2 linked regions of the Rattus norvegicus genome follow. The main gene of each other region encodes a partner of the protein of the gene in region 2 in a complex. Links are inferred from orthologs where the notes say so. Each region holds a gene or a part of one and is shown on either strand. Other genes may lie near its edges.

Region 1 (8,490 bases), on a different chromosome or scaffold from region 2:
CAACACAGACCAGGCACAGAAAGCTGAAGGTGTTGCAGACGCCAAGTGACGTGTGTGCATTTTTGATAGCTGTGAACTTCTGGTGACTATATAGTTTGGAATACTATTTTTATCAAGTTTTATAAAAAATGCAGAATTTTGTTTTACTTTTTTTAAAAAACTATACTGTTAGCACACAGAACACTTCATTGGTGGCGGTGGGGGAGAGGATCATGTGTCACTAACAATGCTGGATTGAGAACAGAAAACCTCTTTCCATGGTAATTTTGAAAGGCTCCTGTTGGCTTCCTGGAGAGACATCCTAGTCTTGCATACGTGGCCACCAGGGCAAAAAAAAAAAATGGCCTTGTGGTCTGGGGAAACTCTAAATCCATTTTTATATCCTTTCCCCCCTGTACCATCAACATAGACTTCATTCCCTTAAAACCAGAGTCCTGTTGGAACCTGACCCCCAAAATTGATTTTCTAGTCTACTGGGTGATGTGGACTCTGCAGTGACTTCCTCAGTGTCTCAGAAGAGCGCTGGTTCCTTTTATAAAAGATTGTGGAGTTTCGGATTGATAAATCTGCCATGTTCATTTCCTGAAAATCAGGGCTGGTGTGTGAAAAGTTGTTAAACACCATCCTTAATATGAAATGTCAACCCTCACTCTACCCTACTTTCCCCTTTCCAAAGCATTGACTGAAGATTTCATTGGTTTTTATAGTGGATTTCTGATATAGGTAGTCTATATAAGAAGAGAATTTCAAAGTTCTTATATATTGTTCATTGTCTGCCCATGTCCTGCCTGAAATACCATGATTGTTTATGAAAAGTATCTTTAATAAAGCTGGTTACAGTTAGGCTTGGAAAAAAAATATGTAATCTTTCCAAGAAAGACAAAAGACATACTTCTGCTGCAGAGACAGCTTCTTCTTATAGTCTTTGCACTTCTTCTTCTTCTTTGAGGCATCGTATTCCCCCTTCAGCTGGAACTGTGCCACCTCCACATGCAATTTGTAGCCTCTAATTTCATCTTCATCCAAAAGTTTTAATGCAAGTTCCACAGATTCTTTCTTTATAAGGTAAAATAAAATACTCATTAAGTTGAGCACTGAAATGAAACTTGGGATTTTGATTAAAAAACATGCCCGCTACCTACTTTAGTATAAAGAATCCTAAAGTAGAAATCAGGAAAGCTCTGTTCGAAACACACATATATCTCACACACCTGTGTTAACTTAGGTACAGGACTAGTTCTCTAAACCCCCAACTTCTCCATCTGTGTAAAGCTAAAATATCTTCATCACGGAGTCCCTTAAATTAGATGAAATAGTATATGGAAAGGTATGGGTATAACATACAGTAGGTGTTCATTATATTTATATATTTACTATTCTATTACTAGAATTATACTACTGGGTAAGTTTTATGTCCAGGAACCCGATTTCCTCATGTGTAGAATGGGAGGAGTAAAGTGAGTGATATCTGCGGCATGTCCCAGCTGCGAGATTCTGTACCATCATCCACATAATAGTGGGTGATTTAAGCGACCAGAAGACAGTCAGCCTTTAGTATTCAGCTTCGTCAAACCAAATATACATCTGTAAGGAAATGCTTAGTAGAAGAGAATTACTTAATGGCTTATATATTAAATGCAGTTATGGATCCTGGGTCCTACACAAACACATCAGTTAGTAAACAGCTTAGGCCTTAGGGTTAGGGTTACTGCTGCAACTGCTCAATGCTACTGACAAAAGCAGCAGCCGCACAAGCCTAAGTTAGCCAGTGGGGTTGTGTTCCAACAAAACTGTACTTGCAAAAACAGGCAGCGGGCACGACTTTGCTAAACCCCATTCCAGTTCATTCCCATGTGCAAATAAAATGTCACTAGCTTTTTTCCTTCTCAGATTTTTAAACTCTTGATTATATACACTGATGAAGATGTCTTTGCAGTGAGATTTTTGAACATGACAAGCCTCAAAATTACATATTTGCATAACATACTGACCTTGTAGCAAAGTTTCTTAAAACAAGCAAATAACCCTAGTGTCACTAAGTTGATTTCTGGGTTTTCCTCTGTCTTACTAAATACTTCTTTTGTGTCGTGTATTTGCAGGATTTGGTGAGTATACTCTATGGAAGCAGTAATTCATATATATGTAAAAAAAAATGAGAAAAGATACAGCATGGCCTACATATAGTAATACCCCGAAAACCCAATTTCCTTTGTATTCTGCTTTGGATAGTTTGTGGTTTAGGTTAGTATCTATAAAATCCTAGCTTTGGCTCCTGGTTTAAAAACTGGAGGATAAGAGACTTATTGGACCAAATACCAACCTTTAGATAACAGCAAAGTCCATCTCCTTTAAGATTTCCTTGATCATCTTTGTAAAGTTTGACCTTAAATTCTTCAGTCTGAGGATCCCTCATAATAATACCAAATTTGGACATAAGCTGTATAAATTCATCCACTGTGATGTCTGGAGGGAGACCTGTACTTTCAGAGAACAATTTTAAAGTGTTTAATGACAGTAAAAGACTTTAGCATTTACCAATGAGAAACCTGAAACTTATGTGAATACAAGGCTAATTTGGGTAAATGAGTACAACAACTTCCTATCTATAAATGTGAAGAGGATTCACATTTTATATATTAAAAATATCAGTTATGCTATGCGTATGTTTCACTAAATGTAAAGGAACAAATTGCTGTGAATTCTCTAAGGCAGGCATACAAAACAGCATGGAACACTGCATAACTTTTCTTCAATCCCTCCTCATTAAATTCCAGCTAGCATAAGCAGGTGAACAAAACACACCGAAACTAAAACTCACTTAGCGCAGTTTCAACACTAAAGGATACCAACGTGAAAACTGCACTGCAACAGGATAAATACCTGACACATATACATTTGTATTTCTGTCTTCTTCAACATGGAACCATCCTAAAAATCAAAGGGAAATAAATAAAACACTTGAAACAAACAACAAGAATTACATTAGGAAATCTTAGCAAAGGCAGTTTCTTCAAAGTTTTAGAATGTCCTCTTTATCTCAGACAACTACGCCTAACTCAAATCCCTACGTATCTTCCAAAAGACATAAACCTTTTGACTGAGAATTACCTTTAGCGTTCTTTCTATCCTTCATGACTATAACCCTATCTTAAAGTGAAAACTCACATTATCATTCTTGCCTCCAACATGTACAATGGACTCACTCATTTTTCCTATCTCATTTTTAAACCCGGACTTTGCAAAGACAGAACCACTTGCCAGATTCAGCCTTTCTCTTTTCTCCCCTCTTTTTGGAGTCAGTGGTTTCCGGGATTTCTTTCTGTGGCGGCTCTTCTACAGTCTTAGTGTTGGCGTCCTGGACATTCCCAGTAGAGCTGGGTGCACCATCACCAGAAAAGCCGTAGTTGGCCTGATACGAAGCAATGAAATCTTCGGTGATCTAGATAAATAAGTCAACACATGGACGGACAAGGTGACTTCACTTGTGGAAACTGTGTTACATTCAACAATATAAGCTAAGACTTAAACAAGTGTTTATACCACAAGTAGTTCTACTAATTAAAATATAATCCAAGACCAGTCACCTTATACGGAAAACGTGTAGTGCAATCAAAGTAGGACAAGGGTGCTCAGATTGCCAAAACCACACGCATAGTTTTAAGTGATGCTACCACTTTTTTCTACATTCTTGTAAACTACTACTTCTTTACAGTATATTTAACAAAAGTGGCCAATACATAAAACAAAAGAAGTATCGAATAACAAGATGGTAAAACCCAAAGTCCACTAGCAATCTATTGCAGTATCTACTTTTGGGTGCCCAGATACCAAATAATAGTTTGTCAGACTATTATAAGTGCTCAGAAAGAAATCTCATCTACATTCGAAAAGGCATTGCAAGTCCAGAAGTTCAATTGTAAATTTTTACAGTTTGGGGTGCTTGAAATATGCGCAAATACAAAATCAGAAAGAATAGCTGAAATAAAGAATTTTGGAACCAACAATCAATCCCCCTGCACAATGGAGAAAAGTTGTGTGTGATTGGCTCTCCAATCGCTTGGTGTGCTGTTAGTACCCTTTGATGCCAAAGTTCCCATGAGGCTAAAACTAACAGAGTACTTTCACCCTACAGTTTATAACACCGGGTTCAACACCAGTTGTGTTATTTCCATGCTGAAACTAAACACTTAGCAATTCCCAAGTACTCGGAAACAAATGTAGAGTTCTCTTTCATCCATTTCCTGCGCATTCCTAGTCATACTCCTGTGCTTAGAGGGTCCAAACTTAGATGTCCTGGAACAAAATTTAGTAGAATAATAAAACAAAACAAGAATCAAGAAAAGTTTATTCGGCAGAATGAGCTGAATGACTGCTTTCTGACCCGGTAAATCAACAAGCTACATTAGGCACAAGCATGTACACGAAGCGTAAGTTAAGTTTGGTTATACAGGATAAAACTCTTATTAATGTGTTTTTCTTGGTGTTTTTCCTCTTTGCAGTAAAAATATCCAGATAAAAATGAACTGTGACCTTCACACACACACACACACACACACACACACACACACATACACAAATTAATAAGACATTAAAAAAACACACTTAAGGCACCACTCTAAGATTTACTTTTCTTTATACATCGGGGCTGCAATAGACTGAACAGACTAGCCACCAACCACCAGTTCAAAGACCAAGTACTTCAGCGGAGCAAACATAAGAGGGATGTCCCGCAAAGGTGGTCAGGGAGCCCTATGTCCCGCTCCACAGTGGGACTCAAGCTACTCTCTTACCTTAGGGAACCAAGCCTTCTTATCAAGGTCCCACTCGTAGGGAGTGTCATCTGGTGGTTGTCCCAAAGAATCAGTTTCTCCAGAGGGCTCATTCTGGGTGTCACCTTCCTTGGGGTCTCCGTACAATTCTTGCATTCGCAACTGCTCATCAAATTCATCGTTCCCGCTCAAGTTGCTGCCACTCATGGTTCTCACGTAGTCCCGGACACAACGGTCAGAGAAGTGAAGAGGCCAAAAGGGCGCTGGAAGAGAGCAGAGAAAGAGAGGTCTGCAGAGCTCAGAACGTGCACTGCAACTCCCCGGCCGCCTCCCGCAGCGCCCCAGCAGACCCTGGGAAGTCTAAGCGGTACCACCCCAACTCCGCCCTCCTGCCCGCCCCACTCGCGCACGCATGCGTCTAGAAACTGCCAGCGCTGTCGCCGCCACCCACCTGGCGGACTCCGCGGGGTCTCAACGCCACCGCTAGGTCTAGGGCGAGGCGGAAGCGCGCAAGCGCGCGGTTACCGCCGCGGCTGGCTCCGGGGGCACTACAGCTTCCTCCGCCACGTCAGGCAACTATTTGAGAACGAAGTCCGCCTCAGACTGATGCGGTCGCCATTGTCCGCGCGTGGCGACGTAAGGATCGCTCGACACGCCCACGTGGCGTCATATGTCCGCGACGCTTGCGCGGACAGGGGCGGGGTTTCAAAGCCTGGCTGCCGCCGCGTGTCCATACTTAATGGTAACTCGCCTTAGAGACGCAACCTGCAGAAATGCGTGGCACCTCGGGAACCTTGGGCTCCTCTGCACTCCGGACGAATTTCGCCGCAGCGATTGCCTGAAAAAGGACGCGGAACTCTTCCAGACGAGCTGGCTGTGTTTGGGCTTTGCGGCAGGCGCCATCTTGGGGAGGTGGGTGGGACCGTGGGACAAGTTTCTCCCGCTTCGCGAAACCTTTGCGCCTCCTTCGCGCAAATCCCCGCCCCTGCGCAGAAGCCAAGGGTTTACTTATTTTTAAATGCTTGCCCTAGGGTACACGCGGCTTTTGTTCACCTTAGTAACCCAAACACCTAATATACTGTTTGGCGTCTAGTGAAGAAGGAGTGAAAGAAAAGTGGGCAGAAGCCATCGCTTCCTAATCTCACCCCGTTTTTTTTTTTTTTTTGTTTTTTGTTTTTTTTCCGGATCTGGGGACCGAACCCAGGGCCTTGCGCTCGCTAGGCAAGTGCTCTACCACTGAGCTAAATCTCACCCCGTTTTTATGCTTCTGGTACCACCCTCAGACTGCAGTAGGTGAGAGTAGCTTTTGCCTGCGGCTTACTGCAACGTGTCAGAGGTGTTCCAGCCTGGAATTTGAAGCTTGACTGTAAACATCCCCTTGTACAAATAGGAGATGAACCATGTGGCCCCATTTCCTTGTTTCTTAGTAAGACAGCCTACTGCCTTACTAAGAAAAGCGGGACTTTTCTCTTAGATGTTTCATGTACCTCGAAAAGGGAAGAGGTCCATATTTTTAAAACAGACAGGCATTTACTGAACTATTAAGTGCCAGGGGGCGATTCTGAGGCAGCTGCTGAGAAGACAGATCAAGGGAGGTTCAATTATAGTTGGCGAACAATAGGGTGGAAGCACCAGATGCTGGACAGCAGCAATTACTTTGTTTTATTTTGTTTTCAGCATCCTTTAATACTCAAAAACTAGACAATTCTAAACAGCTTTTTTTTTTTTTTTTGGTGTGTGGACTACGTTTATCAACAAACAACAACGTCTGTTGCCATAATGTTAACTATGCAAGTAAAATTTTAATCACTAAAAGTAGCAATAAACTATACATGTAGACATCAGTACTATAATCAAGACTTGACTGTAGGGAAAAGCTTCTTAGAAATTATTTCCATTCCAGTCACCTTTGTTTGTAAACACAGTGGTTCAAGCTAGGTTCTAGAACATCTTGGCTCCTCACAAATCTCTGAATCTGATCCCACGTTAACGATGTTAAAAAAATAAAACAGTATTTTTTGTTTCCAAATATATTTATTTTTATGAGGTTCTGTTTTTAGTAGAACTATTGGAGAACTGAATTTATATGCATGCTGTGGATTTTGTTAGGTTCTTTTAAATGCTGCTAAGTAGGTCTTGCTTTGATCTGAAAACTATACAGCACTTTTCACTAATTTGTTATTATGCTTCCATTTCATTCAGGAGTATGTTTACAATAGAAGAGATAGTGCACTGGATGATATTGCACATGGCACACACTTTTAACGCCGTGCGCGCGCATGCGCACACACACACACACACACACACACACACACACACACACACGCTCACATACATCTATCCTTATGTTTGGGAGTTTTCTTGTCCCCACATCTTGTAATCTCTAATCCTAGTTGGGAGGGGATTTCTTCTGATAAAAAGGTTGATGTATCTTTAACCTAAGGTAATATGAACACAGAATTACTTAAAAACAAAATTTGCTTACAGAAGATGTACAGGGTTAAATTGGGGGCACTTCCCCTCTGCATATGCTGTGGTTGTACATGACTTTGTGACTTTCCTACTTCCTAGGGTATTGCTGTGATCCACATTCGAAATTTTGAGCAAAATTAGGACATGTTCACAGTATGTTTTGCCTTTGTCCAAATCTCTCCCTATCTAGAACTCTCACTAAAGAAATGAAATATCTCACAAAAACAATGTAATTGTGGCTATTATTATAGGCACCTAATAAAGTTAACCCCAAGAAAGAAAATGAGTTCATTTCCCCCAAACCCGTAAATTTTAATCACAGTTTTCTGCTACAAAAGTGGAGGGATGGGGCTGGGGATTTAGCTCAGTGGTAGAGCGCTTACCTAGGAAGCACAAGGCCCTGGGTTCGGTCCCCAGCTCCGAAAAAGAGAACCAAAAAAAAAAAAAAAAGTGGAGGGAGCTGATGCCCTTGAAAACTAAGATGTTACTTTAAACATATTTCATCACTAACTCATGCAGCCTAGTTTTGTGAAACAGGAAAGTACTGTCTTGACTTTTGTAGCCTGATACTTTTTAAACTTGGAGTTCTATCCTCGGCTGGAACGAGGACCCCTAGCGACTATGTACCAAACAGGACGCTCATTCTTCATGGCTGCCCTATCTGACCTTAGTGAAAGAAGATAGGCCTAGCCCCTCAAAGGCAATGTGCCAGGGTTGTGGGATACTTAGGGGGGGCCCACACTCTCAGAAAGGCATGAGGTAAAATAAAATTAGGGTTCTAATTACTTATTGATCATATACGTATGTTAGGGCCAGAGGAAGGTGTCATGTATCTTTTTTTTTTTTTTATCACTATCTGTCTTATTCCTTTTGATGTATGGACTCTTGCTGAACCCAGGGTTTCTGGTTTCTTTTTGTCTTTTCTAGCAAGGCTGACAGCCAGCAAGTGCCAGGAATCCTATTATCTCAACCCCCTTCTGTGCTGTAATTACAGGTGTATACAGGACCACATCTGGCTGGTGGGTGCTGGAATCCAAAGTCTGGGCCTCATGCTTATGCAGGGAGCACTCTTAACTGCCTAGCTCTCTCTCAGGCCCATAGCCTGGTACATTTATAAAATTATTTCTCAAGTGTTAGGCCCAGGAGAGTAAATATACAACATTTTTCTAATTAAGAAAAATCAACTATTTTATAGTTTTGTGATTTGAAAGTACAAAAGTCTTGGAATTGAAATGGGTTCTTATATTCT
Region 2 (7,697 bases):
GAAAGATAAAGTACATTTCTGTCCGTACAAACAGTAATTTATCTTTCATTTCTGAAAAGTAAGCCTGTATAATCGGTGCCCGGCTTCCTTTCACACCAAAAGAGAACCAAAAAATTCACATCTTACCTCAAGTCCATGTCTTAAGACTCTCAGAGACGACCGGGGTCCCCTACCACAGGCTACATACAGCTGTGGAGTGTCTTCATTGGCCAAATCAGCTATCTGCACAGACAAGAAAAAAAGTCTATTATGCCACATTTTTAAGCACAATTACAAGAGGACAAACTATTCTCTGATTTGAAGTTACATAAGGGCTACTAACTGGAAAAAGAGAAAAGGTCCCAGCATTCCACATTTAAAGATTTATTTATTTATTCCATGTATGTGAGTACACTGTCACTGTCTTTTGACAGACCAGAAGAGGGCATCGGATCCCATTACAGATGGTCCTTAGGAAGAGCTGTCAGTGCTCTTAACCACTGAGCCATCTTCTCCAGCCCCAAGCATTCCACATTTAACAGAACCAAAAAACCACACTAGAAATGGCTCAGCAATTAAGAGTGTCCACTCTTCTTCTAGAGATTCTGAGTTCAATCCCCAGCAACCACCACATGGTGGCTTACCACCGTCTGTAATGGGATCCAATGGCCTCTTTTGGTGTGTCTGAAGTCAGCCAACAGTGTACTCATATATATAAAAATAAGTAAATATTAAAAAAACAACACAACAACAATAACAACAACAAAAACCACCTTGTAGGGTATAGTAGCAAACACCTTTATTCCCAGCACTCCAGAAGCAGAACCAGCAGGAAGAGGCAGGAAGACTTGAGTTTAAGACTATCCTAGTCTACAGAGTTCCAAAGACTGCAAGGACTGCACACAGAAATAATGCTCAAAAACCAACCAACCAACTAAACAAACAAAACAAACAAACAAAAAAAAAAAACAAAAACACTCATGCAATTTATTCAGAAGTCAAAAAGAAACTTTGATATCATGTGCAATGAAGTGTTGTTAAATCTGACTTGCATCCAAGATTAGTGTTTCCTTCTACTTATCAGTGCCAAACTACACTGAATTATAACGTTGTTACCAATAAAAGTAATTACCAAGTTTTCAGGTATTCCAAGAGTCATTTATTCTAACCAGTACTTCAAAAACCTATGGGCCCCATTGTTATTAGCTGCATACCCACATACGTGCATATCACGCAGTTAGCCAACTCCTAGGTGACTACACGAGGACAGCTGTGAACTCGAACCTCACCACCCAGCCAGGCACGGCAGCTTACACCTCTAATCCCAGCAGTGAGGAGGTTGAGGCAGGAGGATAGTTAAGTTCAAAACTAGATTTTTTTTCCCCCTGGAGCTGAGGACCGAACCCAGGGCCTTGCGCTTGCTAGGCAAGTGCTTTACCACTGAGCTACCACCAACCCCAAAACTAGTTTTTTTAAATTTTTATTTTTTTTATTATTTTTTTTTTATTTTTGTCTGAAGGGGACTGGCAGAATTACTGTATGCAGTTACTCTGCTAATGAACCTTCAACTATTAGTATAGCACATAAGAATTAACACTGCTCACACAGTCAAAGGAAAGCAGGTCAATGAAATGTGCAGTGAAAACTAGATTGGAGCTATACAGACTAAGACTGTCTTGTCTCAAAACAAACAGCCCTCATAAATTGATACGTCCCTGAACTTCTGTTAACTACCAGGTTTCCATAGCAACGATTTCACAGATAAGCAGTTTTCAGACTACATCTCATATTGAGGAAAACTTTAAACCATTACATTTCAGATTTAATAATAGTCAGCTGGCATAGTTGAGAAGTAATTGAATAAAGTCACACCTGGCAAAAGAGAATAGGAGAGAGGCTGTCCAGTTCATCCACCAGCACGAGATTTTTGAGTGGTCTCGGCTGAAAGAAGAATGTGTCTCCTTCTTCTAAAGGCATGGCAGATGAAAACTCAGGCTCTTCATCATCATCTCCAAGATGGGCAATTTGATACAAGTAACTAAGGACAAAGCAAAAGAGATTTTCTTTGGCACAGGTCACAGTATGCTTGGAAGTGGGACGTGACAGCAGTTTGCTGTATAGGTTTCAAGGGGAGAGACGAAACAAGGTACTCAGAACAAATGGCAGGAAGTGCAGAGCACGTGTAGGCAGGGGAGAGCTCGGCTGCAAGAGTGCTCGGCACACAAGCATGGGGACCTGCGTTCAGATTCCCAATACTCATGTGAAAAGCAGGATGCAGCAGCTACACCTGTGATCCCAGAGCTGGGGAGACAGTCCCAGATCCCTGTCCTAGCCAGTCCACACAGAACCAGTTGTTTCAGGTTCTGTCTCAGAAAATAAGGTAAAGAGCTACTGAGGAAGACCTGACGTCCATGTCTGACCTACATACCCACACTTCTACTGCACATAATTCATACATGCCACAAAATTCTAAAAAGCATCTAATTTTAATTACGAGAAAACTGAGCTCAGTTTCCAGTAAACTGTTTTGCAGACATGTTAGTAGACAGCGGCAAGGCCCTGTCATTCATAAGTAATTTGGAATTGTGGATACTGGTCTTAAACTGCTCATTAGAGTTCAGATTTCTTCTGTATGGCAATGAAAATCCATCAAAGTTTGTTAATACTGAGATACAGGAAATAATGTCACTAACATAATAACTACATTATCAATAAGGTAATGTCCCATCTTGTTAAGTTTGACTCTTTATAAAGACTGGATTTTGCAGGAAAGCAAAGCAAATTAAATTTAGACTGGAAACAGTGTAGTAAGAAAAACTAGAACTTGTACACTTGACTAAAAGGAGTAGAGGAAAAATAAACTCAGACTCCACAAGTCACTAGAAGAGGCCCATTAAACAAAAATATTGAGCAAGGCACACTGGCGATACAGGCAGGCAATGTGGATACGAAGAAACTTCAACTGTAGGTCTGTACAAGAGAGCACATGTAGAAAAAAATCTCTCTGGCTTTACTTTTCGTTAGAAAATCACCTCACTATGCAGCCCAAGCTGGTCCCATACTTGAGATCTTCCTGCCTCAGCCCATACTTACAGACATTCAGGATAGTAATGGAATTCACTACAGTAAAGGAAGCTAACAATGAAAATTAACACAAAAACGGGGTTGGAGGAAGGACTTGGGGTGGTATTTTAAAAGCACTTGCTGCTCTTGCTGAGGACCTGAGTTTGGTTCCCAGCATCCCTACCTTGACAGCTCACAAACACTGGAACTCCAGTTCTAGATGCCTCGCCTGACCTTCTACATATATGTGGGGCATGTACATGCACTCAGTATACATACATAGAAAATGTAATTTTAAACAACTCTAAAAACCCACAAAAAAGATAATGCAGTAGAAGAAAAGGGATAGGGAGAATGAATAAAAAGGGAAAACGAGAGCAACACTTCTGAAAAACCTCAACTATTCTATGAAAAGGTCCCCAACACCTCCTGTCTGCTAACTTTTACTATGTGTGGTAACCTAGGGGTTATAGTGGTAAGCTAAAATAAATAAATAAATGAATGAATAAATAAACAAATAAAAAAAGGATTACTTACTGATTTCCAAATTCTGATGCCACAAAAAGGAAGCCTGTTTTAAGCACACACATAGCAGCAGCAACAGGAACAGTATCAAAATACTTGAGGCGGATCTCAGTTACCTGGAACAGAAGGACGGTGTATAGGCAGGTGCAGCTTAGCCACAGAAGCCTGCTCTGTGCACCACAAGTGAACAAAGGACAGTGCAGCCAGCCTGAGGGGTTAAACATAGCTACTGCTTTTTCTGCTTCAATGTCAGTTACTTTGGACTGAGAATACACAGCAGAGAAAAACTAAACATCTTAAGTGGCTTTACAAGGTCAGATACTTGTTAGCCAGAATGAGAAAACCCAAATTCAAATTCAAACCAAAAGGTAACCACTTTCTAATGTATCTAAATTTCTAAATTTTTCCCTCTTTTACTCAAAGTAGATTCTGGTCTCACACCATACATCCCAACCAGTTTCCCCTCCTTCACTTCTCCCGGCTTTTCCCAGCCCATCTCCCCCAGATTCACCCCCCTCCAGTTCCTCTTCTGAAAAGGAAGACCTCCTTCTGACTTGTTGAGAATCAGTTGCACTTGCTCCCTATCTTGGTGCAGGGAAAAGTTATGAAGTATAGATGTTAAGCAGCTTTGAGAGCCAGGTAGTGGTGGCACACACTTTAACCCCAGCACTCAAGAGGCAGGGACAAGCACATTCTGAGTTCTAAGTGAGCCTAGTCTACAGAGCTATGACTGGCAAGGCAAATCCCATCTCAAAAAAGCAAAAACAGTAACAAAAAAAGTAAAACAGCTTTGTAAATCTTACATGCACAAACAGCAGGTACTTTAGACAAAGGTTTTAAATTATATTCAAATTAAAAATCAAGATAGACTACAGCAAATAGATACTCCCCCTCCATCCATGTTCTATTTACCATATCTTCATCTGTCTCCAAAGTGATCTTAAAGATATCTCCCTGCTCCGTTTGGGCCAAAAAGAAGAACATGGACTTGGTCTTATGGGTGGCAGAGCAAACAAAAATCATTCCTCTTTCAGGGTCATCCAGGTCATTCTGGCAAAACCAGAAACAGAGCCAACATCTTAGAAATAAGCAACTCAGTATTCTGGAATTCATCTTTTACAAAAAGGAACTCTACAGACTACTCAAGGACTAAGATGCAAACATTGCCCACCATAGCTGTTAACAACTAAAGCTTGCCCACCCCACCCCGTGACCAAGAAACTGCTAATATTCCACTCTGCAGCCTCATCAGATCAGCAAGGCAAAAATCATCTCCAGAGGAGAATGTCAGAGAAGAGACACGAATTAAATAGTCATCATTTCAGGCTGGACATAATAATTTAAAAACAAAAAGCACACTCATCCACACTGCCATGGAAACCATCCATCACCACCAGCCTGTGTAGTACCAAGTTCCCACTCCCCTACAAATAAGTCTAGTGCTTGGAGTTGTTAAATGTTTTCAAGATTTTAAAAAATATTTCTGCATACAAACTCATAAGTTTTATACCTTTTCACTGCTCCCAAACGAATACAAATTCCTGGCTTAGGAAATGTCTGATCAACAGGCCGATTTCAATGTTTTTTCACAAGATTAAATTTTATCGCTTAACCTATAAGGTTTGACCCAGAACCAATATTAAAAATATGTAAGTTGAGGGAGGAAAAATGTAAGAACTGACTCAGTAATAAGACTGGTACTGTATCCACATAATGAACAGACCAGAAAGGGAAGAATATTTACGATCTATAAAAAAAAAAAAATCCTAAGTCTGTACCCGCACAATGACATGACCTTAATAAAGTGATAACTTGCTTAATATGTAGAGTGCACAAAGCCCTGCACTCCAAAGTATTAATTAATAATTTCCCCTTTAAAACATACCCAGTTTTAGAAAAGCAACTTATCTTTTTACATAACCAAAACATGGCAACAGACAAATTTAAGAGACTAAGCTGGTGAGATGGTGCAGCAGGTAGTACGCTTGTCAACCTGAGTTCAAACGGAGTCCCTCATGATGGAAGGACAAACTGACTCCTGCAGCTTCTCCTCCGACCTCCATACACGAACCATGGCATACATGCACACAGAGTAATAAATAGAAGAGAGAGGAAGATACTATGGTGGATCATTAAGAGCAAACAAACAAGCTAATTCATTCCCTAGTCAGCTGTTGCTCTATGGTAGACTTTACCCGTCTCCTGGGAATTGGACATCGGATGTCTGGCTGGTCACCAAAGTTCTTGTAGGTGATATAATTCTCAGAGCAGATCAGCACTCCACTTGGACCATCTGACCCTCCAGGAACTGTGAGAGGGAAAAAGCTTAAATATTTTGCACTGCTTTGATTGTCAACTGTTCTCCTTCCCACCAATGATGCTAAAACCAAGTGCTTCTTTTGATGTCCGCCTCTAATCAAGTACTTGGAAAGCAGGGGCAAGAGGGTCAAAAGTCAAATGGTCTTCAGTTACAAAGTGAGTTTGAGGCTGGTCTGAGAGATCCTGTCTCTAAAAAAATTAAAATAAAGCCAAGCATGGTAGTTTCCATCTGTAATCTTGATCAAGAGTTTAAGCCACCTTTAGTTACGTGAAAACTCTTGAAGCCAGCATGAGGAATGAGAAAATTTCAAAAATTAAAACCCAGCTCAGCTGGTAAAGTACTTGCCGTGTAAGCATGAGGCCCCTTTAAAAGCTGTGAGCGAAAGCACACCTGAGCCCCGGGCGTGGGGTGGGTGATATCCCTGGGGCTCGCTGGCACTGCTCAGAACTGCTGAGCTGCACCTCCAGTCCCTTCTCAAGTCTGACATTCATATAAGGCCATATGATCTCATATAGTTTTATTCTTTTAAATAAGTAGCTTTTATTATCTTACTAGTGTCTAATGTGTTTTTCCTTTTCTTTTGAGACAGGAGTCTCATGTATACCCATAGCTGGCCTCAAACACAGTCAGATCCAACTGTGTCCACCTCTCAAGACCTGTAACTCATTCTGAGAAAGGCTGGCCTCCAACTCAGAGATCCCCCACTGGAATCAAAGAGGGGAGCACCTGGCCTTTTTTTTAAAAAAACAAAACAACAACAACAACAACAACAACAACAAAAAACAAAAAAAAAACCCCCAAAACTTTACCATCTTTAGCCTCAAGAAACAGAAACCTGATATGGTAGCGAACATCTGTAATTCCAGCACTAGAGAAACTAAGGCAAGAATGGCCTTGATTTCAAGGTCAACTTAGTCTACCTAATGAGGACTATAGAATGAGAACTTGTCTAAAACAACGCAACAAAAACATATAAAACATTAGGTTTTCTACAATGAGATTAAGATCCAAATCCTGTGTGGTAAGCACCCATGTGGCAGCTTACAATGGTCTGTAACTCCAGATCACAGGGATCCAATGTCTTTTTCTGGTCTCTATAGACATGCACACAAGCAAAACACCCAGATAAAGTAAGTTTTTTCCCCTAAAGGCACAAAGGAGCACTGCAGAAAAGTACCTGTAATAAGGAAGTTGCCATGTTCCTCCAACGGTTCACTGTATTTCCGAACCACGTGATTTAAACCAAGGTCCAATTCATAGAAAGTAAGTGTCTGCTGGGTATTGGCTGCTGCTTCCCCTGTTGGATCATTGTCTGCTTCCTGTAAGACAGTGCACAAAAACTAATCAAGTCTTTGACTTGGGAAGGATATCAGGATTTTACATACAATGAAGTAAAGGTTCAGAGTCCAAATAGTTTGACAAAGTTTAGCAATCTCTATGTTGGACCCTGGGCTGTCAGCCTCCACTAGAGGGAGGCGCTCTGGCTAAAGCAAAGACTGGCATGTTTTGCCTTTTACTACTTCCCTTAAACAACGCCCCTCCCCCCAAACCCAAATAGAACTCTGCTTTTCTCATGCAGCTCCTCTTAATAAATGTCTCAGATCAGAGCAGTCATTTAAATCTGAACAGATAATACTAGTCAAGTGCACCCAAGATTTTCAGTCAAGCATTCATATCAAGAAAAAGATCCGCTAGCAAGAATGATTTTAATATCTACATATACAATTAAAATTATTTTAGGAAAAAAATCTGAGATGACTAAAACAGAGAGAGAGAGAAGAAGGGAGGAGAGAGAGAGACCCTGGTACCT

Evidence for each region.
Region 1: Sf3b3 (region 2) and Htatsf1 share a complex: the UniProt entries of both Homo sapiens proteins name them as parts of the 17S U2 SnRNP complex. The link is inferred for Rattus norvegicus from reciprocal best matches to the Homo sapiens genes SF3B3 and HTATSF1.

What each region holds. Positions count from the first base shown.
Region 1 is NC_086039.1:139,969,674-139,978,163, reverse strand, and holds the start of Htatsf1 (HIV Tat-specific factor 1), read right to left. Parts: upstream 5,423-8,490; 5' UTR 5,221-5,422; intron 5,204-5,220; exon of another isoform or gene 5,033-5,203; 5' UTR 4,977-5,032; coding exon 4,791-4,976; intron 3,440-4,790; coding exon 3,259-3,439; intron 2,929-3,258; coding exon 2,881-2,928; intron 2,476-2,880; coding exon 2,321-2,475; intron 1,057-2,320; coding exon 893-1,056; intron 50-892; exon of another isoform or gene 1-49. UniProt on the Homo sapiens protein: Component of the 17S U2 SnRNP complex of the spliceosome, a large ribonucleoprotein complex that removes introns from transcribed pre-mRNAs.
Region 2 is NC_086037.1:55,717,052-55,724,748, forward strand, and holds part of Sf3b3 (splicing factor 3B subunit 3), read right to left. Parts: coding exon 7,696-7,697; intron 7,207-7,695; coding exon 7,065-7,206; intron 5,876-7,064; coding exon 5,763-5,875; intron 4,897-5,762; exon of another isoform or gene 4,808-4,896; intron 4,618-4,807; coding exon 4,480-4,617; intron 3,684-4,479; coding exon 3,580-3,683; intron 2,018-3,579; coding exon 1,852-2,017; intron 1,553-1,851; exon of another isoform or gene 1,486-1,552; intron 223-1,485; coding exon 127-222; intron 1-126. UniProt on the Homo sapiens protein: Component of the 17S U2 SnRNP complex of the spliceosome, a large ribonucleoprotein complex that removes introns from transcribed pre-mRNAs.